6 linked regions of the Canis lupus familiaris genome follow. The protein of the gene in region 1 purifies or fractionates together with the protein of each later gene. This does not show direct contact. Links are inferred from orthologs where the notes say so. Each region holds a gene or a part of one and is shown in the gene's direction. Other genes may lie near its edges.

Evidence for each region.
Region 2: the proteins of MINK1 (region 1) and STRN4 purify together in Homo sapiens (affinity purification with mass spectrometry; 3 studies listed by BioGRID and IntAct, with this or other methods). This does not show direct contact. The link is inferred for Canis lupus familiaris from reciprocal best matches to the Homo sapiens genes MINK1 and STRN4.
Region 3: the proteins of MINK1 (region 1) and CNOT9 purify together in Homo sapiens (affinity purification with mass spectrometry; 3 studies listed by BioGRID and IntAct, with this or other methods). This does not show direct contact. The link is inferred for Canis lupus familiaris from reciprocal best matches to the Homo sapiens genes MINK1 and CNOT9.
Region 4: the proteins of MINK1 (region 1) and STRN3 purify together in Homo sapiens (affinity purification with mass spectrometry; 3 studies listed by BioGRID and IntAct, with this or other methods). This does not show direct contact. The link is inferred for Canis lupus familiaris from reciprocal best matches to the Homo sapiens genes MINK1 and STRN3.
Region 5: the proteins of MINK1 (region 1) and STRN purify together in Homo sapiens (affinity purification with mass spectrometry; 3 studies listed by BioGRID and IntAct, with this or other methods). This does not show direct contact. The link is inferred for Canis lupus familiaris from reciprocal best matches to the Homo sapiens genes MINK1 and STRN.
Region 6: the proteins of MINK1 (region 1) and STRIP1 purify together in Homo sapiens (affinity purification with mass spectrometry; 3 studies listed by BioGRID and IntAct, with this or other methods). This does not show direct contact. The link is inferred for Canis lupus familiaris from reciprocal best matches to the Homo sapiens genes MINK1 and STRIP1.

The regions. Positions count from the first base shown.
Region 1 is NC_049226.1:31,926,001-31,930,799, reverse strand, and holds part of MINK1 (misshapen-like kinase 1), read left to right. Parts: intron 1-1,539; coding exon 1,540-1,596; intron 1,597-1,679; coding exon 1,680-1,805; intron 1,806-3,471; coding exon 3,472-3,582; intron 3,583-3,921; coding exon 3,922-4,012; intron 4,013-4,410; coding exon 4,411-4,541; intron 4,542-4,662; coding exon 4,663-4,717; intron 4,718-4,799. UniProt on the Homo sapiens protein: Serine/threonine kinase which acts as a negative regulator of Ras-related Rap2-mediated signal transduction to control neuronal structure and AMPA receptor trafficking.
Region 2 is NC_049222.1:109,881,277-109,886,790, forward strand, and holds the start of STRN4 (striatin-4), read left to right. Parts: upstream 1-2,186; coding exon 2,187-2,468; intron 2,469-2,521; exon of another isoform or gene 2,522-2,559; intron 2,560-5,514. UniProt on the Homo sapiens protein: Calmodulin-binding scaffolding protein which is the center of the striatin-interacting phosphatase and kinase (STRIPAK) complexes.
Region 3 is NC_049258.1:25,078,130-25,082,928, forward strand, and holds part of CNOT9 (CCR4-NOT transcription complex subunit 9), read left to right. Parts: intron 1-1,704; coding exon 1,705-1,814; intron 1,815-4,799. UniProt on the Homo sapiens protein: Component of the CCR4-NOT complex which is one of the major cellular mRNA deadenylases and is linked to various cellular processes including bulk mRNA degradation, miRNA-mediated repression, translational repression during translational initiation and general transcription regulation.
Region 4 is NC_049229.1:10,486,384-10,491,773, reverse strand, and holds the start of STRN3 (striatin-3), read left to right. Parts: upstream 1-1,845; 5' UTR 1,846-2,050; coding exon 2,051-2,332; intron 2,333-2,449; exon of another isoform or gene 2,450-2,717; intron 2,718-2,774; exon of another isoform or gene 2,775-2,917; intron 2,918-2,951; exon of another isoform or gene 2,952-3,097; intron 3,098-3,154; exon of another isoform or gene 3,155-3,308; intron 3,309-5,390. Other genes in the region: small nuclear ribonucleoprotein-associated protein B'-like, read left to right, coding at 1,293-1,836. UniProt on the Homo sapiens protein: Calmodulin-binding scaffolding protein which is the center of the striatin-interacting phosphatase and kinase (STRIPAK) complexes.
Region 5 is NC_049238.1:29,441,862-29,446,660, reverse strand, and holds part of STRN (striatin), read left to right. Parts: intron 1-1,410; coding exon 1,411-1,458; intron 1,459-2,239; coding exon 2,240-2,361; intron 2,362-4,799. UniProt on the Homo sapiens protein: Calmodulin-binding scaffolding protein which is the center of the striatin-interacting phosphatase and kinase (STRIPAK) complexes.
Region 6 is NC_049227.1:42,377,653-42,382,451, reverse strand, and holds part of STRIP1 (striatin-interacting protein 1), read left to right. Parts: intron 1-120; coding exon 121-227; intron 228-340; coding exon 341-468; intron 469-1,600; coding exon 1,601-1,783; intron 1,784-2,136; coding exon 2,137-2,354; intron 2,355-3,350; coding exon 3,351-3,416; intron 3,417-3,539; coding exon 3,540-3,603; intron 3,604-4,687; coding exon 4,688-4,759; intron 4,760-4,799. UniProt on the Homo sapiens protein: Plays a role in the regulation of cell morphology and cytoskeletal organization. Required in the cortical actin filament dynamics and cell shape. Part of the striatin-interacting phosphatase and kinase (STRIPAK) complexes.

The DNA.
Region 1 (4,799 bases):
GGTTTTCCATAAGTCTCTGCAATCTCAGGGGCTGCTTCCTGGGTCACTGGGACCCCCATGTAAGCTCTGGGGGACAGGCATCCCCTCCCCCATTCACCCATCACCAGCCTGGTCGTTGCCATGGAAATAGTAGCTCTGTTCTCCTGTTTCTCTGGGCTTGGGGTCTCAAGTGACTGCTGAGGATAATGATCTGGGATCTCTGCTCCCCTTCTCTGCTTCCCTCTCCCCCAGGAAGCCTGGACTTCCTTGACCAGGGCTGGGATGGTTCCTGGAGGAATGTCAGAAGGATAGGGGGTGGATGAGGGATGCCAGGGATGTACCCTAGAAGTTACTTCCCGTTAGCACCGGGGATGGGGCATTGCCAGGCCAGTCAGCCTTCTGTGTTTCCCAGAGGTCCCTAAAATCCCAACTCTATCTTTATTCTGTCCTGCCAATGATAATAGAAAGCCTTGGAGGGGGATCCCTGGGTGGTGCAGCGGTTTAGCGCTTGCCTTTGGCCCAGGGCGCGATCCTGGAGACCCCGGATCGAATCCCACGTCGGGCTCCCAGTGCATGGAGCCTGCTTCTCCCTCTGTCTATGTCTCTGCCTCTCTCTCTCTCTCTGTGTGACTATCATAAATTAAAAAAAAAAAAAAAGAGGGATCCCTGGGTGGCGCAGTGGTTTAGCGCCTGCCTTTGGCCCAGGGCGCGATCCTGGAGACCCGGGATCAAATCCCACGTCAGGCTCCTGGTGCATGGAGCCTGCTTCTCCCTCTGCCTGTGTCTCTGCCTCTCTCTCTCTCTCTCTCTGTGACTATCATAAATAAATAAAAATTAAAAATAAAAAATAAAAAATAAAAAAATAAAAAAATAATAAAAAAAAAAAGAAAGAAAGAAAGCAAGCAAGCAAGCCTTGGAGGGGGACAGTTCTGGGAAAGGCTTCCTGACTGGGGCAGGCCGGGGCCGGAATGCAGGAGGCAGTTTGTCTGGCATAGAAGGTGCCAGAGAGGCAGAGCCCCTCCTCCAGCTGCTCCCAGCTCCCTCCAGTGGGGAAGGATCTCCTTTACTTCCTTCTCAGCTTCCAAACTGTGGGAAGTCCAGAACAGAAGTGACTCTGCCGTGTGTCCCTAAGCTGTTTTAGGGGAGGAGACCCTTCATCTTTTTTTTTTTTTTTTTTTTTTAGTATTTTATTTATTTATTCATGAGAGACAGAGATACAGGCAGAGAGAGAAGCAGGCTTCCTGCGGGGAACCCAATGCAGGACTCTATCCCAGGATCCTGGGGTCACGCCCTGAGCTGAAGGCAGATGCTCAACTACTGAGCCACCCAGGCATCCCAGAAACCCTTCATCTTTATTCAGCTTAGCACTTGGACTCCAGGCTCTATAGTTGTTCTTGGAAGCCTGTGCCCGTCCCTGTGCCTGACCCATAAGTGAAGTGTCCAGTCGCCACAGGGACACTTTCTAAGACAGAGAAGAGCCAGAAGGTGTGTCCTGCCTCAGAATCAAGCCGTCCCTGGTTGTAGACTCAGACCCTCCACACCTGGCTCTCTGTCTTGCAGGGTCGGCACGTCAAGACTGGGCAGCTGGCTGCCATCAAGGTCATGGATGTCACGGAGGTAGGGAGCAATGAGGGCAGAGGGCGGGGCAGGGCCCTGAGGAGGGCTGGGGGCTCTTGGGCTCACTCCTCCCATGTCCCCAGGATGAGGAGGAAGAGATCAAACAGGAGATCAACATGTTGAAGAAATATTCTCACCACCGTAACATCGCCACCTACTATGGGGCCTTCATAAAGAAGAGCCCCCCCGGGAATGACGACCAGCTCTGGGTGAGTGGTCCCCACTTCCCTGTGTCCAGGCTCCCTCACAAGTCCCCTGCCTCTGGATGCACAGCGCCTCGTGACTCACGTGGAGTGCCCACATGCTGTGGCCTCTGTTTGGGTGGCCAAGGTGGCCTGGGCTTTGCCTACGCCTCTGTCCTGACCAGGAGCTTACACTGTGCGTGACACACAGTGAGTGACAGCATAACCCTCGCACGTGCTGGGAAAGGTAGTGAGCCCGTTGGTCCTGCCTTCACGCAAAACCGCGGGGGAGCCATGTCCCCAAATCCCTGTGCATGGTGTGGCAGGGCTCGGAGGCTCCTGGTGGAGTGCACACCCTTCCAGATAATCTGTCTAACCCAAACTCGCTGTGGCTCCTTTGGGCCTCCACCAGATTCTCTCCTGGCCCAGAACATTCCTGAGAGACCTTGCCCTCCCAGGCCTGGGCTCGTTCCCAGCCTCGCCCCTTCTGCTACACGGCCCAGCCCCCAGCCCCCAGGAAGAGAGCTTAGGGTGCGTGGTGGCCGTGGTGGTGGGCTTGGGGCTCATTCTAGGTCTTCCCTCCTACCAGTTGCCAGACAGGTACTTACTGAGTGCCTTCTGTGTACCCTGCTTCCAAGGCATTCAAACACACTATACCCAAAGCAAGGGGGGCAACACTCCACTGGGGTCTACCTGCCAGCTGTGTGTGAGTGGGCGATCACGGGGACCAGAGGCTAGCTGCTTGACTGGGCACCTGTCCTTCCCTCCACCCCCTCTCCTGGGCTTGTTGGAGGGAGAGCCCTGGGCATAGATGCACAACAGGCAGTCTCCATATCACTTGTTGAATGTACACACATCCCCTCCAGCCTTTTTCTGCATCAGATGTGGCTTTTGTGCAGTGAAACACCTGGACGGGCCTCCCAATCCCCGGGGCGCTGACGTGGCCACGGCCTCTGCAGGTCCCACTGGGATCTCCACAGGTTCCCTCCTGTAGCCCCCTGGCCAGGCGCGCTGCTTTGCCTACAGCAGGCCTGGAGAGTTGCAGGTTCTTAGTCTCTTTCTTGCCTCTGGGCTAGGCCTTGGCCAACTTCTTTGCTGTGAAGGGCCTGGTGGTAGGTGTCGGGGGTCTGTAGACCCTATAGTCTCTGCCACAGCTCCTCACCCTGGCTGCTGAGCCATGAGAGCAGCCATATACGCCCTGCATACATGAACGGAGATAGGAATGTCACTGTGTCCCAGAAGCCTTTGTTTAGGACTCTGAGACTTGAAATTTTTATGATCCATATTTTGATTTTTTTCAACCATTTAAAAATGTAAAAAACACATTTATTAGTTCCCTGGCCAAAGTTTGCCAACCCACACTCCAGGGCAGCAGTTCTTGTTTCAGGGTGAAGGGTGCCCAGGGGGACCTGACAAAAGCATGTCCCCCCCCCCGAGGGAAATGCGTGCATGCCCATCATTCTGGCTACAGTTTCCAGGGTTCCCAGGGCGCCTTCTTGGGATCCGTCGGCCCTGCCTGCCCTGTTGCCGCTGCATGGCCTCCTCTCCCTGGCTCAGGGAGCTCCTTGGCTTCCACAAGGAGTGTCCCCTGGTCTGCACACCATTTGTGCCCTCCTCTGGGGGGGTGGGGTGGCTGGCAGGGGCGGAAGGCCCTGCCTGATGGATGCTCCCCTTTCTTTCCCTGGTGCCGTAGCTGGTGATGGAGTTCTGTGGGGCTGGCTCCGTGACAGACCTAGTGAAGAACACAAAGGGGAATGCCCTGAAGGAGGACTGTATCGCCTACATTTGCAGGGAGATTCTCCGGGTGAGCGCCCACTTCCCCCTGCTCCAGGCCAGGCCTGCCTGCGGGAGGGAGGCCGCGGAGGGAGGCCGCAGCCGTGTCGTCTTCGCAGGCATCAGCGGCGCTGGGCGGGTAGGGTAGACACGGAGTCCCAGCTCTGGAGAACCATCATGGCGCCTCCGCTGCCTCACAGCTGCCCTGCCGGCACAAGGAGACCTCCAGGGACTGCTGCTCTCAGGACAGTCCCCTTGGATGCAGCCTGTGCCTGGGCTCCTGGATGGGGAGGGGCCGCCTCTTCGGCCCAGCCTGGTCGGCCCCTCTTCGCGGCTCACGTCCACACACTCCCGTGCCCTCCTGCCCCAGGGTCTGGCCCATCTCCATGCCCACAAGGTGATCCATCGAGACATCAAAGGGCAGAACGTGCTGCTGACAGAGAACGCCGAGGTCAAGCTAGGTACGCACGTGGGGCCTCTGACCTCCAGGACTGAGTGTGAGGCCCCTCATTCCCCCTGCTGGCTCATGTCACCTGCCTGGAGGCTGGGAGTCTTGCTCCTGCCCTGAGAGGCCTTGCCCCTTGCTGGAAATCACTCCAGAAGTTTCCTTTGCTCCCTGCATGACCCAGATACCTCTGGGGAGGTGGGACGTTTCGGCTCCTCCTGCCTGTCCCTTGGCCCTCGCCCATTGGTTTTCCCCCAAGACACAGGGAGATTAGGTGAGGCTCTTCGGGATGCTGATGGGGTGGAAGGGGTGCCAGGGAAAGTCTGGGTGCTGCCCTTGGGGCACATGCAGGTGGGGGCCAGGATAGAACAGATGCGGCCCTCTGTTAGGACCCCTCCCTCTGTGTCTTCCCAGTGGACTTTGGGGTGAGTGCTCAGCTGGACCGCACTGTGGGCAGGCGGAACACTTTCATCGGGACCCCCTACTGGATGGCCCCAGAGGTCATCGCCTGTGATGAGAACCCCGATGCCACCTATGACTACAGGGTACGGAGTGAGGGATGGGGTGGGGTGGGGTGGGGGGGCATCCCTGAAGAAGCCCAGGGGGTGGGGTGAGGAGGGCTGTCATGAACATGCCCCTGTCCCTCCTCCCCCCCCCCCTCTGCAGAGTGACATTTGGTCTCTAGGAATCACAGCCATCGAGATGGCAGAGGGGGCCCCCCGTAAGTGAGGAGTCTGGGCATGGAGGGAGCCCCAGAGGGGCTGTGGGGGGCGGGCATGGGTCTGGGGAGGTCACAGTGGGCA
Region 2 (5,514 bases), on another chromosome or scaffold:
CTGGGATCACGACCTGAGCCGAAGGTAGAGGGTCAACCACTGAGCCACCTAATTAGGCATCTCTAATCTTCAAGTTCTGATCACTTATTTATTTTTTATTATTTATTTTTTTAAAGATTTTATTTATTTATTCATGAGAGATACAGAGAGAGAGGCAGAGACACAGGCAGAGGGAGAAGCAGGCTCCATGTAGGGAACCTGACATGGGACTCAATCCCGGGGCCTCCAGGATCACACCCTGGGCTGAAGGCGGCACTAAACCCCTGAGCCACCAGGGCTACCCCTGATCACATTTAAAGATGGGGAAAAACCAGCACAGACAAGTGAAGTCACTCATTCAAAGTCACATAGCTGGGAAACGGTGGACTCAGGATTTGACCCACAAAGCTGGCCCCCAGTCATGTTTTCAACCAATAAACTCTGCTGTCTTTCTTGGGTCCACTCAGACAGCCCAGCTCACTGTCTACCTTCAGTGAGTATTCTGCAGCCCTAACCCGATAGGTGCTTTTCATCAACTCAACCAACAGACAGATATTTCCTAAGTACCCTCTGGGCCAGACCCTGTGTTCTGGGGACAGGGAGAGAGCGAGGCAGTCATTGGGCAGGCCCTCCACAGAGAGGGAGACAAAAACCACAAACACACACCTTACAGATAGGTCAGGAAACCAGAGAGGGGTGTGAGAGAGAAAAGGTGGTCCGGGGAGGAGAGGACAGTTAAGCTGAGACTTTGTCTCTGTTCTCCACAAAACAATATAAAAGGATCCAGATTCACTTGAGGCCTAGGTTCACCTGGCCCGAGTGCTGCTCTAGACTGAGCCTTGGCTGCTCCATCTGTGGCATGGGAACACGACAGGCAGAGAAAATGAGAGACGTGGGGAGGGCAGTTTCTACACGAGTGCTGGTGACACTGAGGAACTTCTTACCTCTGAGGCTGCTGTGGGAGCTCCGGGTGGGTGGTTCCAGCCCAGCTCAGCTGCATTGCTGAGGGAACAAGAACCAGAAAACCCCAAATCAGCCAATTTTGCACAGGAGAGTATGATTTCACCTTACCTACAAAAGTGGCAATGAGAAGATCAGAGAATCTTTTCTCTTGTTCCATAAGCTCACCTACCATCTGGAGTGTCTAGGGAATGGGTGGGAAGGATGTCAGTTATCATAACGACCTATAACCATCCCCTTCTTATGAATGTGTCCAGAAAGGTGGGGCTAGAAGTAACCAAAGCTGTTACCATGACAACCACAACCCCTTCCCTAGACATACTCCATCCTGAGACACAATCCTAAAAGGTCCCATACCTTGGTGAGCTTTGCTCTTAGGGTCTCTGGAAGGGGAGGACTGCCCATGTTACCATAGTAACTAGGGGTTAGCTTTTCCCCATTTCCACCTCCTGGTCCAGGCCCTGTAACCATAGCAACCACTCCTCAGCAGAGCATCTACTCCTCTAAATAAAAACACCTGGTTGGTTTGGTCCTGGCTCTCACGATGAGAAGGAGGGGGATGGTTACCATGGTAATGCCAGCTGGGTGGCTAGGGGGAGGGGTTGGGAAAGAGGTGTTCTCTCAGCAAGTCAGCGTCCCTGGGGCTAGGGTCCTCTCTACCTGAGCGCTAGGTGAGGTTGCCATAGTAACCAAAGAGCCGGTAGGGGGGAAGGACCACCAGGGACTTAGGTTACCTTAGCAACCTCCTCCTGGTGCAGGGACGGGAGAGGTTTGGCGCTCCATTGCCACAAAGGGGGAGGGTTACCATGACTACCGACCTGAGCCAGGAACCAGAGAGGATGGGGCCATTGCTGAAACCACCCCTGGTGGTCGTCCTTTCTTTCAGGGGGACAGTGGCAAGGAGAGTGACATTTGGGTCTGGAGGGGGTTGGAACGAAGCCGGAGGAGAGGGGGCGGAAAGCGGCTCTTCCCAAAGTCCTGCTCTCCCCCCGGCGCGACCCTCGCTCTGGGCCTGGGTCTCGTTAGCCCTCCTCGCGGCCCGCGCCTCCGCCCCGCCCCTTCCCCCCGCCCCCGCGCGCGCGCTTCGGGGTCGACCCGGGTGGGCGAGGCGCGTGCCCGGCCACGTTCCCATCACCGCCCCCCCGACCGGCCCCCGCCGAGCGCGCGCGCGGGCGGGGGGGGGGGGGTGGTACGGCCGCGCAGGCGCGCGAGGCACAGCGGGCGCGCGGGCCGGCCCCGGGGCCTCCATGATGGAGGAGCGAGCGGCCGCCGCGGTCGCCGCCGCCGCCTCCTCCTGCCGCCCGCTCGGCTCTGGCGCGGGCCCCGGCCCGACCGGGGCGGCCCCGGCCTCTGCCCCTGCCCCGGGGCCCGGCCCGGCTGGTAAGGGAGGCGGCGGCGGAGGCAGCCCCGGACCTACGGCGGGCCCCGAGCCCCTGAGCCTGCCCGGCATCCTGCACTTTATACAGCACGAGTGGGCGCGCTTCGAAGCGGAGAAGGCCCGCTGGGAGGCCGAGCGCGCCGAGCTGCAGGTGAGCGCCGCCCCGGGACCCCCGACCCCCCGCCCGGCCCGGCCCGGCCTCACCCGCCGCCGCCGCCGCCGCCATCTTGGAGCAATGGCCGCCGGGACGGCCGGGGGGGCGGGAGGGGACCGCGACCGGCCCGGAGACTGAGTGAGGGGCCGTCCGAGGGGGGTCCTGAGGGCGCCCGGCGGCTCGAGGCGGGAGCGGGGCCCCACAGGCGGGAGGATCCGACCGGGACCGGCCGAGAGGAGGGGCGCAGGGGACCCGAGCCGGCTGAGCGGGAGTGGGAGTGAGCGGACCGGCAGACGCTCCCTGGAGAGGAGCCCAGGACTCAGCGGAGGGTGGTGGGAGGACTCGGGGGGCCTTGTTGGGAGCGAGCAAAAGCCCGAAAGGTGCCGCGGGGCTCCCACCCCGTCCCCGAGCAGGTGAGGGGTTAGAGGTGGAACCTGATGGGCTTTGGGTGAGAGAAAGGGGGCGTCGGGGGGACTTGGGAGCCGCCGAGGGCGACAGTGAGTCGAGTGGGGAGAGGAAGTCAGGGAGCCTGGGACGGGGTGCGTTTAGGAGCACTTGTCCGGGGTTGGGGGGAACTGGAAGATGGCTGTATGAGCACTTGGGATGAGAGAAGGGCCTCGAGGGGTCCCGGCAGGAAGATGTGTGTCCTCCCCTCTAAGGAAGGAGGAAACTTTGGGGAGCCCTGGCATGTGTGGCTATGGAGTGCAGGCGGGAGGGGTACCGGGCGAGGAAGCGTAGATAGGGCCAGGACTTGCTCCAGGAGCCTGTATGGAAGGGCTGCAGAGCTGAAACTCCAGTCTGAGGGGTGTGGAGGAGTGCGGGGTGGGGGGGAAGGCCTTGAGATGGAGCTGTGTGTAGGATGCCTGGTGGAGAACTCTGGACTGGAGTGCGGTGCTGGCCAACGTGGAGATAAGGGGCCCCGGGCTGGAGAACAGGACTCACAGTGGGGGATACCTGGAGGATGGCAGGGCAGCATTTTGCAGAGCAGGCAGGCAGTGTTGAAGAAGCATCTCAGGACTCTGAGAGAGGATGTGTCTGCAGAAGGTTCCCATGGTTTGTGGAGTAGCTTGGGAGAGGAGTGTGCCCTGAGATGAAGTTTATTAGAGGCTGAGGAGTTGGGCTGGATTTCACGACCTTGAGAAGTGTGGGTCTGCTTGCAGAATGGGTCTGCTTGCAGAGTTTCGGGAGGATGGGGCATCAGAGTTGTGAGGATTTAAAGGGATCCAAGAATGGGCCCTGAGGACTCTGAGGGTTCCTGGGCTGGGGTATAATTAGCAGAAACCGGTATCAACTTCTAGCAACTCAGTTTTCTCCTTCTGGTTCACAGCTTCCTGTCTAGTTGATATGGGGGCACCAAATAAATAACTTAAAAATTTTGTCCAGAGGATGAATGAAGAGACATTCCATAATTCTCCCCCTCCCTCCCCCACCAGGGATCTTAGCTGTGTGATAGCTGAGGCTTAGCATTGAGGTAGGAGAGGAATCCTTATGTAAGTACCCCTTACTTTTGTGTTCAACTCTGTTCCCAGAGCTCTTTCCCAGCATACATCCAGCTAGATCTCAGTACCTCATTATGGAGACCGGGCAGGTATCATAGTCCTCACTCAGCAGTAATGACAGCAGCTGTTTATTGAGCACATATGCAGTGCCAGGAACTGTATGAAGCACTTTAGATACATGGTATCATTTAATCCTTCTAGGATGGTGAGTGATCCTATTCCCCCACCCTTGCTTTTTGAGAAAAGAATCAGAAGAGAAAGGGAGGCTCTGAGAGAGAGAGACAGTCTGTGATTGCTCTACGATCACAGCCCGTGGGTGGCAGGGCTGCTAGCCCATTCTCCATACCTCTCTGCTGCCCAATACAGATGAGGAAAATGTTCCACAGAAGCCCAGTGGCCTCTTGAGAGTCATCCTAGACAACAGTCATAACTAGACCTGGGATTGAATCTTGGTCTCTGGGACTTTATGCCAGTGTACACTGCAGCACCCACCGTACCACCTTCTCATGTTTGAGACTAATGAAAGAAAAGCTGTGGGGCAGCCCAGGTGGCTCAGTGATTTGGCGCCTGCCTTTGGCCCAGGGTGTCATCCTGGAGACCCAGGATCAAGTCCTGCCTTGGGCTCCCTGCATGGAGCCTGCTTCTCCTTCTGCCTCTCTCTCTCTCTGCATCTGTGAGTAAATAAATAAAATCTTTTTTTTTTTTTTTTTTTTTTTTTTAAAGAAAAGTTGTATGTTTATCCAGCGGCCCTTCTTGGAGTGTGAGAGGAACTTGTAGATAGCACCCAGTTAGGCTGTCCCATGTCTAGGCTGCCACATCACGTGTTTTATACTTTTGTTTTCCTTTTGTTCTGTCCCATTAGTGGAAATGCAAAGGTCTCAGAAGTATGTGCATATGTACATATATATGTGTGTATGAAAAGAGAAAGCTCTCTCTCTCACTTTGTCCCTTTCCTGCCCTTTTTTTCCCCTAAGATTTTATTTATTTGTTTGACGGAGAGCATAGGTGGGGGGAGGGGGGAGGCTGGAGATCCCAGCCTGGGATCATGATTTGAGCTGAAGGCAGATGCTTAACAGATCAGCCCCCCAGCCCCCCCACCTTCCTGCTCTTCTCTGTAACTGTTACTGCTAGAAAAGTAGTTCAGCTCTATGTGTAAAATATGAGGTCACATACATATCATTTTGTGACTTTTTGACATACTTGTTTCTCGTGTCACATACTTGTTTCTCATGTCTTGGTATTCCTTTCCTATCAGCACAGAGAGCTTTCTTACTGTTCTTGATCACTATGTTTCACCTGCTGTTTGTACCATAGCTCTTTTAGTTGACCCTTGCTGATCGGCTTTCAGCTTCTTTCCAGCTTTTCCCCCATCAGAAATGGCTGCAGTGAATATCTTTATATTCCCATGTGGGTATAAAGCAGAATAGGTGGGTGGAATGGTAGAAAGCTATGTTATAAAATGGTGATTGGTTCTGCCACGTTGCCCCACAGTTCCACACACTCCCATCAGCGGCACCTCTTTTTACACACCTTTGCCCGAACAC
Region 3 (4,799 bases), on another chromosome or scaffold:
TGTCTCTGTGTCTCTCATGAATAAATAAATATTTAAAAATATATGTATGCATATGAGACCCAACATTTGGAATTATATTCAGCATATATGTAGAAACATTTACTAGAATCGTTGGGAGAATAGAAAACAAGAACTGAAGTCAACAAAGTATTATTGGGGCACCTGAGTGGCTTGGTCGGTTAAGTATCTGCCTTCAGCTCAGGTCATGATCCCAGGGTCTTGGGATTGAGCCCCACATTGGGCTCCCTGCTCAGCAGGGAGTCTTCTCCCTCTCTCTTTTTGCTGCTCCCTCTGCTTGTGCTTGCTCTCTCTCTCTCTCTCCTCCCCATCTCTGCATTTAAAATAAATAAAATCTTTAAAAACAACAACAAAAGTATTATTACAGAGATAAGAATTTGAGTTGGTTTTTTAGGGTGTCTGGGGGCTCAGTCTATTAAGCACCCAACTCTTGATTTCAGCTGAGGTCATCATCTCAGAATTGTGAGATCAACTCTTATTTTATAGATAAACAGACCTATAAAGGGAAGGTAACTCTATCAAACTTAGGTAAACTAGTTGTGGAATTAGGATTAGAGTTGAAGTGTGTGTATGCTTCTTGTTTGGGTAAACCCTACCAGATTTGCACTCTGTAGAGAAAGTGACAATTAAATAACCAAGAAGCAGTGTTTGTTTATGTCCATTGTGAAGTAGGATTCGAACTGGCACCATTTCTTTGCTACGTGGGAATATCTTTTTATACTGATACAGAATTCTTCTCTCTCACATAAAATAAATGGAGAATAGATCATGATATTATTGTGTGGCTGTCTACCAAGAGTTATAGAAAAATGATTTAGATGGCTGACCTGCTGCTAATTATGTGATGGACCCAACTTGGTATCTGATCTTTCAAATGCTGACTGATGACAGTCAACCTCTGTTTTCTCTTCCTGTTTTGTTTTGTTTTTTTAAGATTTTATTTATTCACGAGAGACACAGGGAGAGAGATAGAGGCAGAGACACAGGCAGAGGGAGAAGCAGGCTCCATGCAAGGAGCCCGATGCGGGACTCGATCCTAGGTCTCCAGGATCACACCCTGGGCCGACGGCAGTGCTAAACCGCTGAGCCACCCGGGCTACCCTCCTCCTGTTTTTTTATTTCTTCTTTAACATCATTATGAATCTGATTCTCTGAAATGAACCACAGTTTTTGTTCTCTGTTAGTTAAGTTCTACAGCTAGCTGGATGAACACTACAAAGTTAATTTTAAAGTTGTTGGGTGGGGGCAGCCCAGGTAGCTCAGAGGTTTAGCGCCGCCTTCAGCCCAGGGTGTCATCCTGGAGTCCCAGGATCGAGTTCTGCGTCAAGCTCCCTGCATGGAGCCTGCTTCTCCCTCTGCCTGTGTCTCTGCCTCTCTTTCTGTGTCTCTCATGAATAAATAAATAAAATCTTTTTTAAAAAAATAAAGTTGTTGGGTCTTTGTTGTTGTTTTGTTTGTTTGTTTGTTTTTGACAGAGGACACAGCAGGAGGAGGGGCAGGCAGAGGGAGTGGGAGAAGCAAGCTCCCCATTGAGCAAGGAGCATGACCTGGGGCTCTATCTCAGGACCCTGAGATCATGACCTGAGCCAAAGGCAGGACACTTAACCAACTGAGCCACCCAGGCGCCCCAAATTTTAATTCAAAACCTGACTGTAAAATAATTTTGTTTGTCCATATTTCCTTTAGGGGCCTTAGTGAAAACAGATGAGCAAGAAGTAATCAACTTTTTATTGACAACAGAAATTATCCCTTTGTGTTTGCGCATTATGGAATCTGGAAGTGAACTTTCTAAAACGGTATGTGCTTTTCAACTTAGATTCTATATTGTGTTGGCTCTTGGACTACTTTATGCTCCTAGGAGCATTTTCTGCATCCCTTTAGACTTTCTGAAACTTCTATGTATATATTTTCTCTTTTAGATAAAAATTATTAAAAAATGATCTTTTAAAAACCCAGACCCTTAAGAGGAATATAAAATTAAAAACTAAATTTCTCCCTTTTCTCTGAACCTACTTCTCCATGGGTGTATCATTCCAAGCATTTTTTTATGCATATTCAAGTATATGTATACTTGAGCTTCTGCTTACTTTGCTTTCTATGAATGACACCATGACTGGGTAAAAAATTCTTACCTCGTTTCTCCTTGTCAGAACTATGTTGCCATAGCACTGATGTCTTTGATATTGAGTATACAGAGAAATCTTGGGCCAGCCCAAGTTTTTCCTTTTGTTGGTGAACTTGCGTTTTCTGTGTGGATGTCTGTAAGCTTTTTTTTTATTATTTTTAAGTTCATTTAATAATCTTATATCAAATTTTTTTCTGGAAGAGTATCCTCTTTGTGTCTCATTAATTTTTATAGTTTTTAATTTGTTCTGGCCTCTCAGCAACATCAGTTATGCCACATTGTGTATCTTTCCAACCTATCCTTTTTTCCCTTTAATAGCTTTCTACTTCTTTATTTCATGTCATGTGATTTTTCTCAAGGCTACTTTTCCATGTTGCTATTTTTAGCAACATCAACCTCTACTTCTAAAGTATGCTCAGTCACATTGAATTAATTTTTAATTCAGGGACGCCTGGGTGGCTCAGTGGTTGAGCATCTGCCTTTGGTGCAGGGTGTGATCCTGGTCCAGAGATCGAGTCCCACATCAGGCTTCTTGCAGGGAGTCTGCTTCTCCCTCTGCCTATGTCTCTGCCTCTCTCTCTCTCGCTCTGTATCTCTCGTGAGTAAATAAAAATAAAAAATAAAATAAAATAAAAATAATGGAGGAAAGAGTGATGGTGGTAGGAGCTCAGATTGGCAGTTTTTTATTTTTTTTTAAGATTTTATTTATTCATGAGAGACACAGAGAGAGAGAGAGGCAGAGAGACACAGGCAGAGGGAGAAGCAGTCTCCATGCAGGGAGTCTGACGTGGGACTTGATCCCCGGTCTCTAGGATCGCATCCTGGGCTGAAGGCGGCACTAAACCGCTGAGCCCCCAATTAGCTGCCCAGATTGGCAATCAAGTATTTTACCTCCGAATATTTTCCACCCAGTCTGGGATGTATATATTTGGGAGGTATTAATACCTCTGCATTCATTTTTCTCCTTAAACATACAAAAGTAAGTGATGTAGGGATCTATGTGTGTGTTTTTTCTTTTGTTTCTTCCCTAATTTTAGGGCGTTTTGTTAATTTCAGTGGCTTTCTGGGACAGGATCAGAATGGATACAACTGTACTCTGTCATCTTATATCAGTGGTTTCCTATGAATAGGTTTTTCAAGTTGGTTTTTTACGGATGGGATAGGAAAAAAACCATTTCTTTTGTGACATCTCTCCCTTTTTCAGGAATGCCATCTTAATGATCTCTCCCTTGTTTACATTCCTTACCTATTACTAAAGTTAATGCATTCTGAACACATATAGGTTCCCATTAGCTTGTATGACATATCCTACCTGGTATGGTTAATACCTCGTGACTTGTCCTTATTTGCTCCATGCAAGCCGAAACCTTACCACAGTCAGTTTTGGGTTTTGGCGGGGGGGGGTTCATTTGGTTTTGGTTTTTTTAATTTTATTTATTCATGAGAGAGGGAGAGCTGTAGATGGAGGGAGAAGAAGGCTCCCTGTGGGGAGCCTGATGCGGGACTCAATCCCAGGACCCCAGAATCACGACCTGAGCCAAAGGCAGATGCTCAATCACTGAGCCAAATGTCCCCACATTCAGTTTTTATGTTTAATACTTAGTCTAACATCTTGCTATAGTAGGTACTCAGTAAAGCACAGGGTGTCAATCAAGGCTGTGTGGAATGATCACCTGTGAAGTGGTTTTTATTTTTGTTTTTTGAGAAGGGGGAGTGCAGGAGGTGGGAGCAGGGAGGAAGAGAGCATCTTAAGCAGGCTTCACATCCAGCACAGAGCCCAACCCAAGATCATGACCTGAGCTGAAATCAGGAGTTGGATGCTCAACTGACTGAGCCACCCAAGCACCCCACTGAAGTGTTTTAAAACTAGAGATGCCCAGGTCCAATCTCTGACCTACTGAATCATTCTCTAGGGTAGTAAAGTCTAGACATTGGTGTTTCTTTAAAAAAAAGTCCCTGTAATTGAGTGTATAGTATAACTGTTTTGGGAAACTATTTGGCAGTATGCACTATCAACACAAGCCTACTGTTTGACCCAGCAGTCTCACTCTTGGGTATATATCCAAGAGAAATGAGCTCTTGTATACATCACAGATGTATGTATAAGAATGTTTATAGCAGCAGTATTCATAAAAGATAAATTGTAGTATAGCCACAAATAAACTACACAATAATTAGGAAGAATACTGATATGTGCAGCATAGATGATACTCATAGGGATTATATTGAGCAAAAGAAGCCAGCACATTTATGAATTCATATTTAATGATTCCATTTCTGTGAAAGTCAAAAAAGCGGCAAAACCAGTCAGTGGGGATAAGTCTGAATACTGTTTACTTCTCAGGGAAGGGTGGTTTGGTTTTTTGTTAAGATTTTATATATTTGAGAGGAGAACGCACAGAGCAGGGGGACAGGCACAGGGAGATGGAGAAACCGAGTCCCCGCTCAGCACAGAGCCTGATGTGGAGCCCTGTCACAGGACCCTGAGATGATAACCCGAGCCGAAGTCAGACACTTAGCCAACTGAGCCACCCAGGCTTCCCTCTCAAGGAAGGATACTGACTGAGGAAAGGCACAACAGAATTTCCTGGAGTGTTGGAAAGCTTTCATATTTTAATTTGGCTGTGGTTCATAAATGTGTACATATGTAAAAATT
Region 4 (5,390 bases), on another chromosome or scaffold:
ACTTAAGCTTGAGGTACCAGTGGGAAATATAAGTACTCATGTTCTTCTTTTGATGCCACATAACAGAGATCAATTACATCTACTCACCTACATTTCTTTGAGACATATTTGGAACTTTTTCTTTTCTTTTTTAAAGATTTTATTTATTTATTCATGAGAGACAGAAAGAGGCAGAGAAATAGGCAGAGGGAGAGGCAGGCAAGGAGCCTGATGTGGGACTCATCCCAGGACCTCAGGATCACATCCACAGCCAAAGGCAGACGCTCAACCACTGAGCCACTCAGGCACCCCTGGAACTTCTTCTATACTATGAGGCCCCTCAAAAAAGGAAGAGGACTGAATAAGCAGGTTTTATGCTGGTCACTATAAAATGGAAAAATAGTACTTAAAAATATGGAGAAACAGTTTTTAATAATATGTGACCTAAGACCTCACTCATTTCATAGACAAAACATGGCAGCAGGGGTAACAGATCATCACTAAACATAGTAAGAGTAGACATGATTAAGTAAGATGTACTATTTTAGTCTTTTTGAAATTATACTTTGAGTGGTGCTGTGCATTACACAGTGAGAGTTTTACTGGTAGTAGAGAAGAAAAAAAATAATGCGATCAATTTTATGTGCAGTTTTCCCGCATAGCTGTAATTATTGAACCTTTTTTCCTTATTACATTGTTAAACATTATTCTTGTCCTATTTTTCAACCAAGTGGTTATTAGCTATATTAACTTTCTTTAGAAACACAGTAGTTCATTAAGGATGTTTCCTGGCAACCTAAGCATATAAAACACACACAATGGTACTTAAAAGATTAAATGTGTCTTTTAGGTGTATATTACATTCATTTAAACATCATTTAATGACCCAGGAAAACATCTTCGCGGCTGTTCATCTAGGATTTTATATTGTATTCACGACGCTTTTATTTTGTTTTCATCACAAGATTCCATGAATGCCACCTGTGAACCCTTTCATTCTAAAACACCGAACTGTTCGTCTAACAAGTCTCCTTCAAAGTTACCTTTCTCTCTCTCCCCCCGTACCATCGTCAAGATCTAAAGCTTTTCACTATTCCTTCTCCCAAGAAAAAAATGAAAACATTCACTCCTGCTCCTCCCCCCCCCCCCCCCCGCGCCAACCCACCCCAGAATAGGAGAAAGAGGGGCGGCAAAGTGGAACAAGCTGCGTCCCGCGCCCGGGAGCACGGAGCTAGGACACCGAGACCCGCAACCAGTCACCGTGTCCGGAGGGGGCTGGGCTATCTGCCAAAAGAGAACGTCCATCCCCAAAGCCTCAGGAATGACGGGTACTTAGAGCGAGTGACAAGCGGAGGAGGAGGCCCGACCCTCTGGGACGTCCTGAAACACGCCAGGAATGCGAAAGAAACGCCAGGCATCCCGGGCGGGCGGCAGCCGGCCAGAGCGCCCAGCAGGTTACGACGGTCCTGGAAGCAGGCATGCGGCTGGCCCCGGGGGGGGGGGGGGGGGACGACGCTCAAGGGGCTGCTGACTGAGCGAGGGAAACTGACGGTTGGGAGCGCCCGAAAGTTCGGGTGGGTGTCCCGCAACACAGCCCAGCCCAGAGGCCGCAGCGAGGCACCGGGGCAAGCCGGAGGAGCGCCTGGGGGCGGGGCCAGAGCCCCACCCCGCCTCCAGCGCCCTCACGAGCCCTCAGTACGCCTGCGTAAGGCGAGGCCGCACTCTATTTGGCTGCTAGGCGCGCGGCGGCAGCGGCGTTCTCTACCCGGCATGCTGCGCGGGAGCGACGGCCCTACGTCTCTCCCCTTCCCAACCCAGCCCCCTCCCCCCTCCCGCCGCGGCCCCCCCTTTCCCTAAAGTGAGTGAGTGAGACGGGCAGATGGAGGAGGGACTGTAATGGCGGCGGCCGGCAGCTCCCTGCTCTGACCCGCGGCAAGCGTACGGCAACGACCCCCTCCTCGCCCCTCTCCCAGGCGGCCTCCGCCCCGCCGGCAGCGCGGGGCCACCCTCCCCGGCCCTTCCCCCAGCCGTCGGCTTCTCGCCCTGCGCCCCGGCCGGGGCCCCACACACAATGGACGAGCTCGCCGGAGGCGGCGGTGGCGGCCCGGGGATGGCGGCCCCTCCAAGGCAGCAGCAAGGACCTGGGGGGAACATGAGCCTTTCGCCAGGGGGGAATGGAGCGGCGGGCGGCGGAGGTCCTCCAGCCGCCGAGGGAGCGGGTCCCGCGGCAGGCCCGGAGCTGTCCCGGCCGCAGCAGTACACTATCCCGGGGATCCTGCACTACATCCAGCACGAGTGGGCTCGCTTCGAGATGGAGCGGGCGCACTGGGAGGTGGAGCGGGCCGAACTGCAGGTACCTCGCTGGGGTCGGGGTGCGGGACGGCTGCGGCGGCGGGGCTCCCGGCCGGGGGGTGGGGCCGGGACTCCCCTCGGTCGGAGCCCCGGGCCTGGGGGGCTGGGGGCAGCCTACCTGTGCAGCTCGGGGGGCGGTAGTCCTGCCTACGGCTCTGGCGACGGCTCTCCCGAGGGCCCCCCTCCCCCTTTCCCGCAGAAGCTTGTTCCCCAGCCCTTGCTAGCTGCGCGGTGCGGGCTTCCTTGGGGCAGCCATTTTGACTTTTAGTATGGCGTCTGCGGGGGCTCCTCTGGAGGCGGCCTGCCGGGCCTCCGGGGCTTGGGGCAGAACTCCTCTCAGTGGGAGAGTCCGGCGTGGGGTGACGGGGCGCGAAGCTTGCAGCTGACTGCGCCTTCTGCGAGGGAGAGCCCGAGGGGAGGGTTTGCGATGGGCATTTCATTACCTTTTCCTTTTTCACCCCCCTATCCGATTTGGCGTTTCTTGGGCCCCTCTCCCGTAGTTGGTGCGCACTTGCCCCTTGACAGCCACGCTTCTTTCCAGGGCTGCCACCGAGCGTAGTGTCCTGCTGCTGACTTGGGAAGTTGACGTTTCCTACCGCCAACTTTAAGTACCTTCTTACCTGGGATGCTGCCTTACTTAGGTTCCCTCCCGGTCAGTTCTTCCCAAGCGACTGACTCATCATCACTGCTTCTCTAAATTGAATTTTTCTTTCGGGAGTACCCTTCCTTCCCCGGGCCTCCAGCCCCTCCTTTAGCCCTGTGAAGCCGAACCAGAGTCTCTCTGCCGTGTTTAGGAAACAACCGAGGAACGATTTAGTGTTACCTTGAAGTGTGACACGTACTTGTCCCACGTTAACTGACTCGCGCAGGGGAAGCAAGGTTAAATATCCCCAGAATCCTTCATAATTGAGCCTTACTTGATCTTTTAAAGGTGAAACTTTGCTAGGCTGGTTCACCTAACTTGTGGAGGAACGTTGGTAGTTGAAGAGCTCACGTCTTGGATTTCAGAATGGCTACATCCTTTTAAGAGGATTGTTCAACTCTTGGGTACTTGTGTTTATTTTTAAATCCCTTTCCAGGGCAAAATTAGGCTTAGAAGGAAAAAGCATGCATCCAAATAGTGTTGCACCTGTTCTTCAGACTGGTATATATTTAGAATGTAAGTAGTAGTGTTCGCTGATATATATATATATCATATATGCCTACGGTGAATAGTTAGGAAGATACGGTGTTGCAGGAAGGAAGACTGGATTAACTTAGGGTGTCTTCAAACAAATATATATTTTTTTAGTTTAATTTTGAATTAGTTATCTTTGATTCTACAAAGTTAGTGAAGCTAAACTTTTAAAAAGGACTTTTATATATCTTGACACTTTATCAAGTCTTCATATCTGATCTGATTCTTTTTTTTTCTGAATTTTTTAATTTATTTATGATAGTCACAGAGAGAGAGAGAGAGAGAATGGCAGAGACATAGGCAGAGGGAGAAGCAGGCTCCATGCCCTGGGAGCCCGATGTGGGATTCGATCCTGGGTCTCCAGGATCACGCGCTGGGCCAAAGGCAGGCGCTAAACCGCTGCGCCACCCAGGGATCCCTTTATCAAGTCTTCAAAAAACTTAATTATAAATTAACACCTGTTAGTCAATTCAATGTTTTAGAATTGTGTTTTGATATACTGTAGGACTTTTAAAAATAGAACTTTCCAAAAGCTTGTATCATAATTGTCTGTAGTTTCTTTTTTCTTTTCTTTCTTTCTTTCTTTCTTTTTTTTTTTTTTTTTGTAGTTTCTTTTAACTTGTATGTATGTAGTCTAGTTTAAAATATCTGGGATTTATAGAGTTTTGCTGATAAACAACTTTTTACTACACCATGTTGCAAACAGTATACTGTATGAAGATAATAAGACGGTTATTTTTAAAAATTGCATTTAAAAATGCACTGAGGCTTAGACTCACTAAATAATACCTCACCAGTCCCTGGATATAGTGTCTAATGACCTCTGCACTGTTGTATGAAAGATTGGTTTTTTTTTTTTTTTTTCCCCTGCCCTAGAGGATGAGACATTTATTTTGCCCTGTAAGCACCCGAAAGCTTGGATTTTAACACTTTGTAAGTTAACAGTGCATTAGTCATTTATAAGCTTCACTAATTTAAGTATCTGAGGAAATAGCTTATTTGTGTCTAAATTAAAAAAAAAACCTATAATGAAGTCTATATGTCTGCCTTAGCCCTTTCTTTACTTTTTAGTTCTCTTTGCCAGTAACAGTGAAGTCTTTTAAGGAAGATTCCTTTTGCTTGTTTGCTTTCCAGTTGATCTGCTATTGTAATACTAGTTCTGATAAAGCCTTTCTAAGCTTTTTTTGTTTGCTTACTTTTAAGAAGTTCTACAGTGTCTCTAGACTCTTAGTTTTTCCTGGGATTTTCATTATTTCACACTGATTCTTTTGAAATGGAATGTGCATGATTCTGTTTGTTTTTGTTCTACATATTTTTCTAAAATGTTATATTGGGTTACTTAGTTAAAAGGGTTTCAGGTTTGTTTCTGGAATATCGAATTTGCTTTAGGTACTTTCAGTCTTTAATAAGATTGCTTGTGAGATGCACATTTAACAGTGTATATGTCAAGGGGCACCTGGCTGGCTCCCCTGATAGAGCATGTAGCTCTTGATCTCCAGGTTGTAAGTTTGAGCCCCGTGTTGGGTGTAGAGATTACTTAAAAAAATAAAATCTTAAGAAAAAAATGTGTCAAATAAAAAATTTATTAAGGTTTCAGTGAAGTGTCAACGGATTTTAACTGTAAACTTTATTTTTAGGAATGATAATGTAGAAATAAGAGAGCTTAAATATTATTTTGTGTATAGCCTCAGATCACTTTGATGTGTGGATGAACAGTGACTCAGAAATGTTCAATATTAGAACTATTCAATGATGAATATGAAGAGGTTAGGGTACACCCAATTTTGATGTAAAATTTCAGCATGGAATCCTGTTTTCCCTGGCTTTGCAAAGGATCTTTTTTTTTTTTTTTTTTTTTTTTTAATTGTTCAGGCTTCTCATT
Region 5 (4,799 bases), on another chromosome or scaffold:
GTTGGAATGGCAGCATTGTTGCTGTCACTTATCTGCCAGCTCTTGGCTTGGTCCCTTTGTTCCTCTGTAAGCATGAACAGACATGGGTTGGTATAGACGCTTTTATCAGTCACCAAACTAGTCTTAGCCCCACTTGCTGGGGTGCTTACAGGGAGTCCCTGTTCTTGTGTCCTTGAATCTGGTGGTCTAGAACCCAGCATGTGCCCACAAGGGCCTTTCTCCAGTGTCAGACAGTTTTATTATTAGAAGAGTAGAAATAAATGTGAACTGGAGGAGATTATGGAAGTTTTATTACTGATAGAGGATAGCTGTTGCTGAATTTGAGAGATCAGTGACATTCCCACTGTGAGTCATCTGTAGACTAGATAAAATACTTGATTTCTTGATTTATCCCTCCTCTTCAGATAGCTCAACCAGATCTTGCTGACACCAAGAGAATCCTTTTTGGATCAGATATCTTCAGCAGAGAAAAATTATTTCTTAGTTATAAATTGTGCCTTTTGTCTTTCTACTTCTCTGGTTACAGTGTGCATCTCATTAGATCAGAGAATGTGAATGCCTCGTATATTCTTGACTAAAACTTAGAAAAATATTGAAACAAGTTTCTTGCTGGTGATAGCTTAGTAATAATACCTTCACATGGTCTGTGACATTAACAGACATTAACATGGTCTGTTTACCTTGAGCTTAACATTTTGGAAATGCTTGAGGAGAGAAAGCATATGCCTATAAAAAGCTTCAATACAATATAAGAGATGGTAAATAGTTGACTTTAAATCCAGTTTCAATTTACAGTCATGGCCAGTATTAGGCAATGTAGAGTATCAATACATTCAGTGTTCTGAATACTGAATAAACTGATGACTGGGACAATTTATCCAAGTATCAAAGACAGTCATATTAGCATTGATGGAAATGCAAAGAAATTAAAGTACCATTTATTGAAATCCTACTGTGTGCATGGTTCTGTCCTAGGCTGTTTTACTTACAGAATTTCATTTAATCCTGTATTTGATATTATCCCAGTTTTTCTGTTTTGTTTTAAATAGAGAGGAATCTGAAGTTTCAAAAGAATAGATAATTTGCCTAGAGTTAGCCAGTTATTTGAATCCAGAAATTTTTCTCAAAGCCCATGCTGTTTTCTGAGTGTGGTTCTCTCAAATAGTCAAATAAACTATGACAATGCTAAGAGCACTATAATCAGGTATTATTACTAAACAAGGATTTTGTTTCTTAAGGCCACAGAAATATGTGATTGGTGTCAGGTAAACTTTCCTAAGTGTCCTAGGTTGAGAATGGTATATTACTACAGTGTTGGTATTTCTAAAGGCAATTTTGCAGCATATATTCATTAATACTGTTTACTACTGAAACTTGGAGTGGTAAAAGTCCTCTCTCTCTCTGATTTAGGAGTACTTCTCTTGATGTGGAACCTATTTATACATTCAGGGCTCATAAGTAAGTATGTGCTTTTTCTCTGTTTTAAGTCAGCATCACTGTATATCAGCCTGATTATTTTCTTTCACTTGAGTATTTATGTTACGTATTTTTTGTATTTAGTAGCATTTTTGTTTGGTTTTGTTTGTTTTTTTTTCTGGCAAATGTAAAAGAAACTGGCAGATAATGCAATGTTAAAAACAACTTTATTCCTACCAGAGATCCTTGCTGAAATTAGATTTTATTTGGACGATGTTTAAAATGTTACATATCTTGTGCTTAAAATATGTTGATGCAATAAGGTTTATATATTAAAAATCCTGACCTTTTTTTCCCTTAAAAATAATCTAGGTAAAAATATGAAGAATTTTTAAATGATAATATTGCATGCTTTTCCTATTTTCATGTAAGCTTAAGAAATACACTAACTCACTTGATTTAGCACAGAGATTGGCATGTTTTTCATATAAAGGGTCAGATAGTAAATACTTTTTCAGCTTTGTAGGCCATATATTTTCTGTTGTATATTCTTGTTTTTAGCTTAGTTTAATTACCCCTTAAAAAATGTAAAAACCATTCTTAGCTTGAGATCTGTATAAAAACTGCCTGCCTTTGGCCCACAGGCTATAGTTTGCCAATCTCTGGTTTAGCAGAAGAAAAAAAATGAGCAATGCTTTTATAGTATTTTTATTTATTGTAAAAAGCAGAAAAATAGCCATATGAATAATTAAGCATTCTTATTTCTAACAAGTCCTATTATCAGATTGATTTTTGGGAATAGAAATTGATTTTTATCTCCCAGAGGTCCAGTGCTTTGTGTGGTAATGAGCAGCAATGGTGAGCAGTGTTACAGTGGTGGTACTGATGGACTGATCCAGGGCTGGAATACCACCAACCCCAACATTGATCCCTATGACTCTTATGGTAGGTGTTTCCCCGAAGATATGAAAGAATAAATTGTTTTCTTTTTACACATTTTCCATAGCATATACAAGGATAAAATGAGATATTTTTAAAAGTAAATTGGTAAAAGAGAATAAGGTCTTTATTTTGTTAAAAAGGATTCTTGCATTTAGGAATCAATTTGATATATAATGCTAAAAGAAAAAAAAATGTTATTCCCGAAAAAGCAGTTTCTACCCCTCCCCTCCAAAGTTTTATTGATTGGAAATGCTGGCTTGATTGACAATTGTTTTTTTCATTTTATAGGCATCTGTACACTATTTGATAGATTATTACTAATCTGTAATCATGTTTCATTCCTATTCTTGACAAATAACTGAAGGAAAATGAATGTTGGAATCTCTTCTTGATCAATTATTGGAGTGTGTAGAGGTTAATGATGTCATGGTTTAAACTCCATGACACCAAAATACTTGAAAAGCCTTAAAAAGTAAGAAGTGCCCCCTTTTTTAGTCTTGGGAACAGTACCATGAAACGTAAATCCACATTATAATCTATCACTATATGTTACCATTAATTAATTCTCTTGCAAAAACTGTCTAGGAATTGACTATTTTGGCTTCCTCTTATGTTCTTTCTTAAATTCTAGAATGAAGTGTAGTGTCATATATGTCCTAAAACCATATTTATTTTCATTTTCACTTTAGATTAATTTTACTACCAAACCTAAGAAATTCAATAAAAAAATTTTCCCAACATTTATTTAATAAGCAGTTAACATATCTTTTGTGAAAGATAAACCCCCTTTGTGTTTTTCCTTACTTCCTTTATTTCTCTGTCAAGAGGATCAGTTGTCTTCATTCTGTCCCAGGCCAACCAGTTCTTCCCCTTTTGCTCTTGACCTCATTCTCTCTTGTTTCTGGTGAGACTGAACTTGATTCTCTTGCTCTGTTTCAATCTCATCGTAAGCCTTGCCCTCTTTTCTTTTTTATCCCCTCAGCATATAAGTAAATTCAGGTAACTACTATTGTGGGCAAAGGAAAGCCTTTTCTTGATTCCATTTTCCTGTGTGTGGCTTTTTCTTCATCATCTGTCTCTGGTGGTAATGACTAGAAAATGCAATCAAGAGTTACTAATTCCATGTCCTTTCCCTGTGCATCATCACTGTGCATTCTATCATCGGTTGTACCACTTAAATATGATAAGATTATCAGTTACTCCCTAATTGGCTGATCCAAGAAGTATTTTACAGTCTTTATTTTGCTAGATATATTGGCTATCTGAAACTGTAGATTATTCCATCCTTTTGGAAATGTGTCCATTATTGGCTTTTTTGACATTTAAGTCTGTGACAATTTCTGTCTCCTATCCTTCCTAAACTTTTATTTTTCCCACCTTAGATATTGGCATTTATCAAGGCCCAGAACCTATTCATTCTTTGCTTTGTACACATATTTTTTGGTAGACTGAATCTACTTCTATGGTTTTGCATGCTGTTGACTCATCAATCTCTTCTTTAAGCCTCACACTGCCTACAGAACATTTCAAAGTGGCCACCTCATTGTCCATAAATTCCCCACAAGTGTTGTGTTTCTTCTCCCATATATTCTTTATTAGTGGTGGCACCACCAAAATTACCCAAACTAGAAACCTACAAGTTATCCTTTTTGTCTTGTTCTGTTTACTATCCACACCTTATTAATTACCTAGTCTTTTTTATATTACCCCCTAAATATTTCTTGAATTTACCCTTTCTGTTTTGCCTCTTTTACCACTGTCCTCTCTTGGGTCTACACCATCATTCTCCCAGTCTACTGAAGCAGTCCTGTTGCCTTCATCTTGATTCTCTCCAGTCTGTCTTCTGCACTACAGTGATAGCTACCATATTAAATACTTAAACCTACTGCTCCTCGAAAACCCTTCAGTGGTTCATTTTGCTTACAGAATAATTTCCAAGTACCTTAATATGTTGTAGAAATTCTACTTTAGGGGCACCTGAGTGGCTCAGTGGTTGAGCATCTGCCTTTGGCTCAGGGCGTAATCCCAGGGTCTTGGGATCGAGTCCCGCATGGGGCCCCCCGCAGGAAGCCTGCTTCTCCCTCTGCCTATGTCTCTGCCTCTCTCTGCCTCTCATGAATAAATAAATAAAATCTTAAAAAAAAAAAAAGAAATCCTACCTTAATCTAGTTACTTGCATCTCTTCTACTTCCTGCCTTAAACTTCATGCTTCAGTAATGCTGATAAATTCCCTCACATGTCCTTTCTGCCCTCATGATTTTGTTGGTACTGCCTTCTTTGCCAGCAGTGGGTTCCCTCTAGCTTTTGAGTGGCCAATGGCTATATATTTGAGGTGCCATTCTCCCCAGGAAGCTCTCACTCACTCCAGTTACTCTCCATGGAAACTGGTGTCTGTCACGATTATTGTACTTACCACAGAGTCTTTTGAGACAAAGATAGTA
Region 6 (4,799 bases), on another chromosome or scaffold:
CCCTCGCCCCCAGCTAGCCTTTGTGCAAGCACTTTCCTCATGTCAGCTAGACTGTGGGGAAGCTGGGACACTCCCTTGCTTCCCCATTCTGCACCATTATGAGCTGGCTCTTGTTCCCAGGGTCCTGCTCAACATCATGTACCTGATTGTGGAGACCGTTCACCAGGAATGTGAGGGCGATAAGGCTGAGTGGAGGACCATACGACAGACCTTCAGGGCTGAGCTGGGTAGGCCCCTAGAGATCCTGGGGTGCTGAGGCCCTGCCTGGAAGCAGAGGCTTCTGGCCTTTGGGAGGGTCCTGTTCCTGCTGGTGGGCCTGATCCCTTAGTGTTCCCTCTAGGTTCCCCCCTGTACAACAATGAACCATTTGCCATCATGCTGTTTGGGATGGTGACCAAATTTTGCAGCGGCCATGCCCCTCACTTCCCCATGAAGAAAGTTCTCTTGCTGCTCTGGAAGACAGTGTTGGTGAGCATTGCCTTGAAGGGGAACTCAGCTCCTAGGGATCGGGGCAGGAGGGAGACTTTTCATTGTATATCTTTTTAAATGTTGAATTATGTGAAAAACTATATGTGAATTAATATATAACTAACTGCTTTGACACTTTTGTCTCACTATGGTCAAAGAGGACTTGGCCCTTGGGTCGGAATAGATTGTGGGCTCCCTGACTCCTGGAAGCTGCTTCTCTAGCCCTAAAATGCCTTCTTTCCAACCAGGCTGCTTCTGAACCTGGAGCATATAAAGTGATTGGAGGCAGAATTAGAGCTGGTGTAATCGGGTCCCCTCAGTCAGAGGTCACTTGAAGGAAGCAAGAGCGAGCCTTGTGCTAGTGCCATCTTCCTCAGGGTGTGGTATGGAGCCCATTTCTGGCTGGGGAAGGACTGGCCAGCACCCTTGGCTTGGGGCCATTGTCAGCAGCCAAGCCCAGCGCCCTTCCCACCTGGAGGAGTGATTTCAGCAGAGAGCAGCGTTGCAGTTGGGACTCCTCCTCCCCCTGGGGCTCACCTTCCTCCTTCCAGAGCAGGCAAACTCTGCAGAGCCAGGCTCAGTGAGTTAAGGGCCTCTTAATCTTTAGAGTGATGTGCACCTTTTGTTTTGGTCATACATCCCTTTGGTTCCTCACAAAGCCTCACTGAAGCCAGAGGCAAAAGCTGAATTCCACTGGGGTTTTGGCTTCTAGGGGCATGATGAGAGGAAGCTTTTTTTTTTTTTTTTTTTTTTTTCCTTTTTTTTTGTAGTATCTAACTGTATCCCCAATTTGATTTTGAAAGACCGGCATGTACAGTTTTTGAAGTATGTGAGTTTCACGGACTTTTCTACGAACCCGATAGGGTAGGCTTTGCAGTCTGCCTTTTTGACATGTAGAGTATATCGTACATATGGAGCTAAACATGTCCACTAGCTCAGTTAGCCTCCATGTCTCCTTCCCTTGGTCCGTTTTCTCTGCTCCCACCTTGGCATTGCTGAATTCTCGTGTGAGTTCCTTATTCAGAGATTGATGTGGGTCGTGGTATCACATGTGCTTTTGAGCCTAACACAGGGCCCAGGGACCCACTCATGGATGCATTCAGCCCAGCCCTGCCCCTTGTCCACGATGCAGTGCACACTGGGTGGCTTTGAGGAGCTGCAGAGCATGAAGGCTGAGAAGCGGACCATCCTGGGCCTCCCTCCGTTGCCTGAGGACAGCATCAAGGTGATCCGTAACATGAGGGCTGCCTCTCCGCCGGCGTCTGCCTCAGACTTGATTGAGCAGCAGCAAAAGCGGGGCCGTCGGGAGCACAAGGTGAGGGTAATCGATGTCCCCTGTGACTCCTGAGAGTCTCAAGGTGCATGACATGTAGCAGCATGATCCCTGTGTGAAAAGGGCTGTTAGAAATCATCTCTGACCAGCTGGTCCAAATGAAGGCCTCTGGGCCAGGGATTCTGTGTCTCTAGCCCAGGGCCCAGTTTATTATAGGTACTCACACATGGCTTTTTTTGAGGCTCTGGGGCAAGAAGGCCTTTGTTGTTTTGGCTCAGCTTTGGCTTCCTCTCAGGCTTTTCCACTGCCCTTGGCTCTGCCTACTACCTTCTGTGATAGAGCCTCTCTAGCCTCCTTGCCCTTAATGGTTGCTTGGTTTGTCCCTCTGTTTTCAGGCGCTGATAAAACAGGACAACTTGGACGCCTTCAACGAGCGGGATCCCTACAAGGCTGATGACTCTCGAGAAGAGGAAGAGGAGAATGATGATGACAACAGTCTGGAGGGGGAGACATTCCCCCTTGAACGGGATGAAGTGATGCCTCCCCCACTGCAGCACCCACAGACTGACAGGCTCACCTGCCCAAAGGGGCTTCCATGGGCTCCCAAGGTCAGGTGAGGCCCAGACATCTGGCACACTCCTGGCTTCTGAAACCAGAGATCTCCCACCCCCAGGCCTGGCATCTGGCCTGAGTCACCATGGGAAGTCCTCTGTAGGGCCAGGCCAACCGTGGCTCTGGGATGAAGCTGTCTTATACAGTACCACATGTTGGCCCAGAGGTCTCGGGGCACTGGCCTTGCACAGAGAGACCCATGTATGGCTCTTGAGTTGGTAATATGAGTTAGCACTTGGTTAGCCATACTAATAAAGGGAGAATAGGGAAAAATGAAAACCAGGACATTTAACTGAATTCATCTCCTCTCACCCTGGGATTGTATGTGGTTTTTAACAGATTAAAAAAGAGTTTTAGGATCATACTTAAGGTGTTTGAAATATGTGTGCATGAATCAGTGGGTGGGAAGGTACCTGCATAAGTAAATGGAGGTGGTATCTGTTTGAAAAGGCACCAGCTTAAGAAATAGATGGACGTGCAAAAGAATACAGAAGTCAGTTTCTTGATCTGAAACCCCAGTTTTCAGTGATCTGTGATGGCAATACAAAACTAGTCATCAGAAAACTGCAAGATGTGCATGCCAATTGTTTAAGACAGGGACCCAGGACACATGTGAAAATATCAGTAGCTGAGAGGTCTAATTGTAATAACTTTAAATATTTGAGAAATTCTTTTGACAAACTTGTTAGCTGAATAAAGTGTGCTTTTCAGTTCGATGTAGTACCTTAATTTTACAGATAAACTAATTACCTGTAACATATTTTCAGGTTATTGATCCAACAATGTTATAAAGGACATTAAAAAAAAAAGTCTAAGGATTTTAGTTCTTTCTTCCTTTCCTCCTTTCCTTCCTTCCTTCTTTCTTTTTTCCTAAAAAGAAAAACAATGGTGGGAGACCTTTTTTTCTGGCTTCACCATTTTTGGGCATTCTGTGTTTTATTGACCATGACACCTTGAAATAACATTTAATAAAAACCTGGTTCTTTCTCTTTGGCAGAGAGAAAGACATTGAGATGTTCCTCGAGTCCAGCCGTAGCAAGTTTATAGGTTACACTTTAGGCAGGTGAGTGTGATCTGAGTTCCTTTTGAAGAAAGGTACTGGGAGTTCACTCTCCTGGCCTTTGGTGTTTGGGGATCGAGGCGAATTCATGTCTGGGCTTAAAACAGGGCTTTCTTTATTCACCAGTGACACCAACACAGTGGTGGGGCTGCCCAGGCCAATCCATGAGAGCATCAAGACTCTGAAACAGGTAGGTGGCATTGAATGAGCTTTTGACCTACTTTGGTCCCGAGTGAGTAAAGTGAGAGCAGCCTTTTGGGAGAAACCTTTTAAGACTATTGTCTGCCCAAAGGAACCTAGGGCGGAGTCATGGGTGGACCGTGGTGATACCCTTTAAAACAGCTCTTTGTAAGTTTTACTTATTTAAGCTGACTTTTTGTTGGAGACTTAACTGGGAGTTTATTAAAGATAGTACTTGATAATTAGAGTTTTAAGGGGCCTGATAAATAGCCCTCCCTTTTCCTAGCCCGAGCTCTAAGGCAATTGAGATAGAGGAGTAGATAGATGGAGATTGAAACACCAGCTTTCTTGCTGATAGAGCGACTGGAGAATGAGGCAAAAGGGCACAGCAGCGACATGCACCCTAATGCTTTACTTCCAGAGTTGGTGGACTCACCTACCCACGGCCAGGCGGTATTGGAACCCTGCTAAGCCTGATCGAGGAGCAGAAGAGAACATAGGCTTTTCTTTTTTCTAAAGAGAAATTCAAAGAAGGAAGTTGGGCTCAGAAAATCCTGTTCCTTCCCTGATACTTGCCAGTCGGCGAAGGGAGAGGAGTGAGTGTATGGAAAGGGGCAGGGGAGATCAGGAGTTTTTTTTACACACACGTATCCCTCCACATGGGAGGAAACATCAAGTGGGGAAGAGGTATCTCCCCTAACAACATGTCAAGAGTGTAAATGTTGATGATATGTTTTTGAAATACGTTTTTGAGATTTGTACAAATGGGCTAAGCAGGCCCTGTGCCATTAGGCTATTTGAGGACTTGGTTCTGAGTCATTGACTCTCCCTTTAGTGGTTTTCTCGTATCTCTTTAGTTATCTGGAAGTCCCTTCTTTCCTTTGTTTTTTCCTAATCTATTGTGTGCTTTTTAGACTGGGTTTAAGAAATATGTGTCCACTTAGAAAAATATTTCAGGATTTGAGTTAGGGATTTTTGTGGTGATGTTAGCTCTCTTTGAGAAGATTGTGTTTGAAGAAAACCGCATGGGGTCTTTGCCAGGGTGTGCGGCTTTGGCCAGCGAATGAGGGGTGTTTCCCCCGCTCTCTCTCCAGCACAAGTACACATCGATTGCAGAGGTCCAGGCGCAGATGGAGGAGGAGTACCTTCGCTCTCCTCTCTCAGGGGTGAGTCTGAGGCCTTCTCCAGTCGCCACCCACTCCCCTG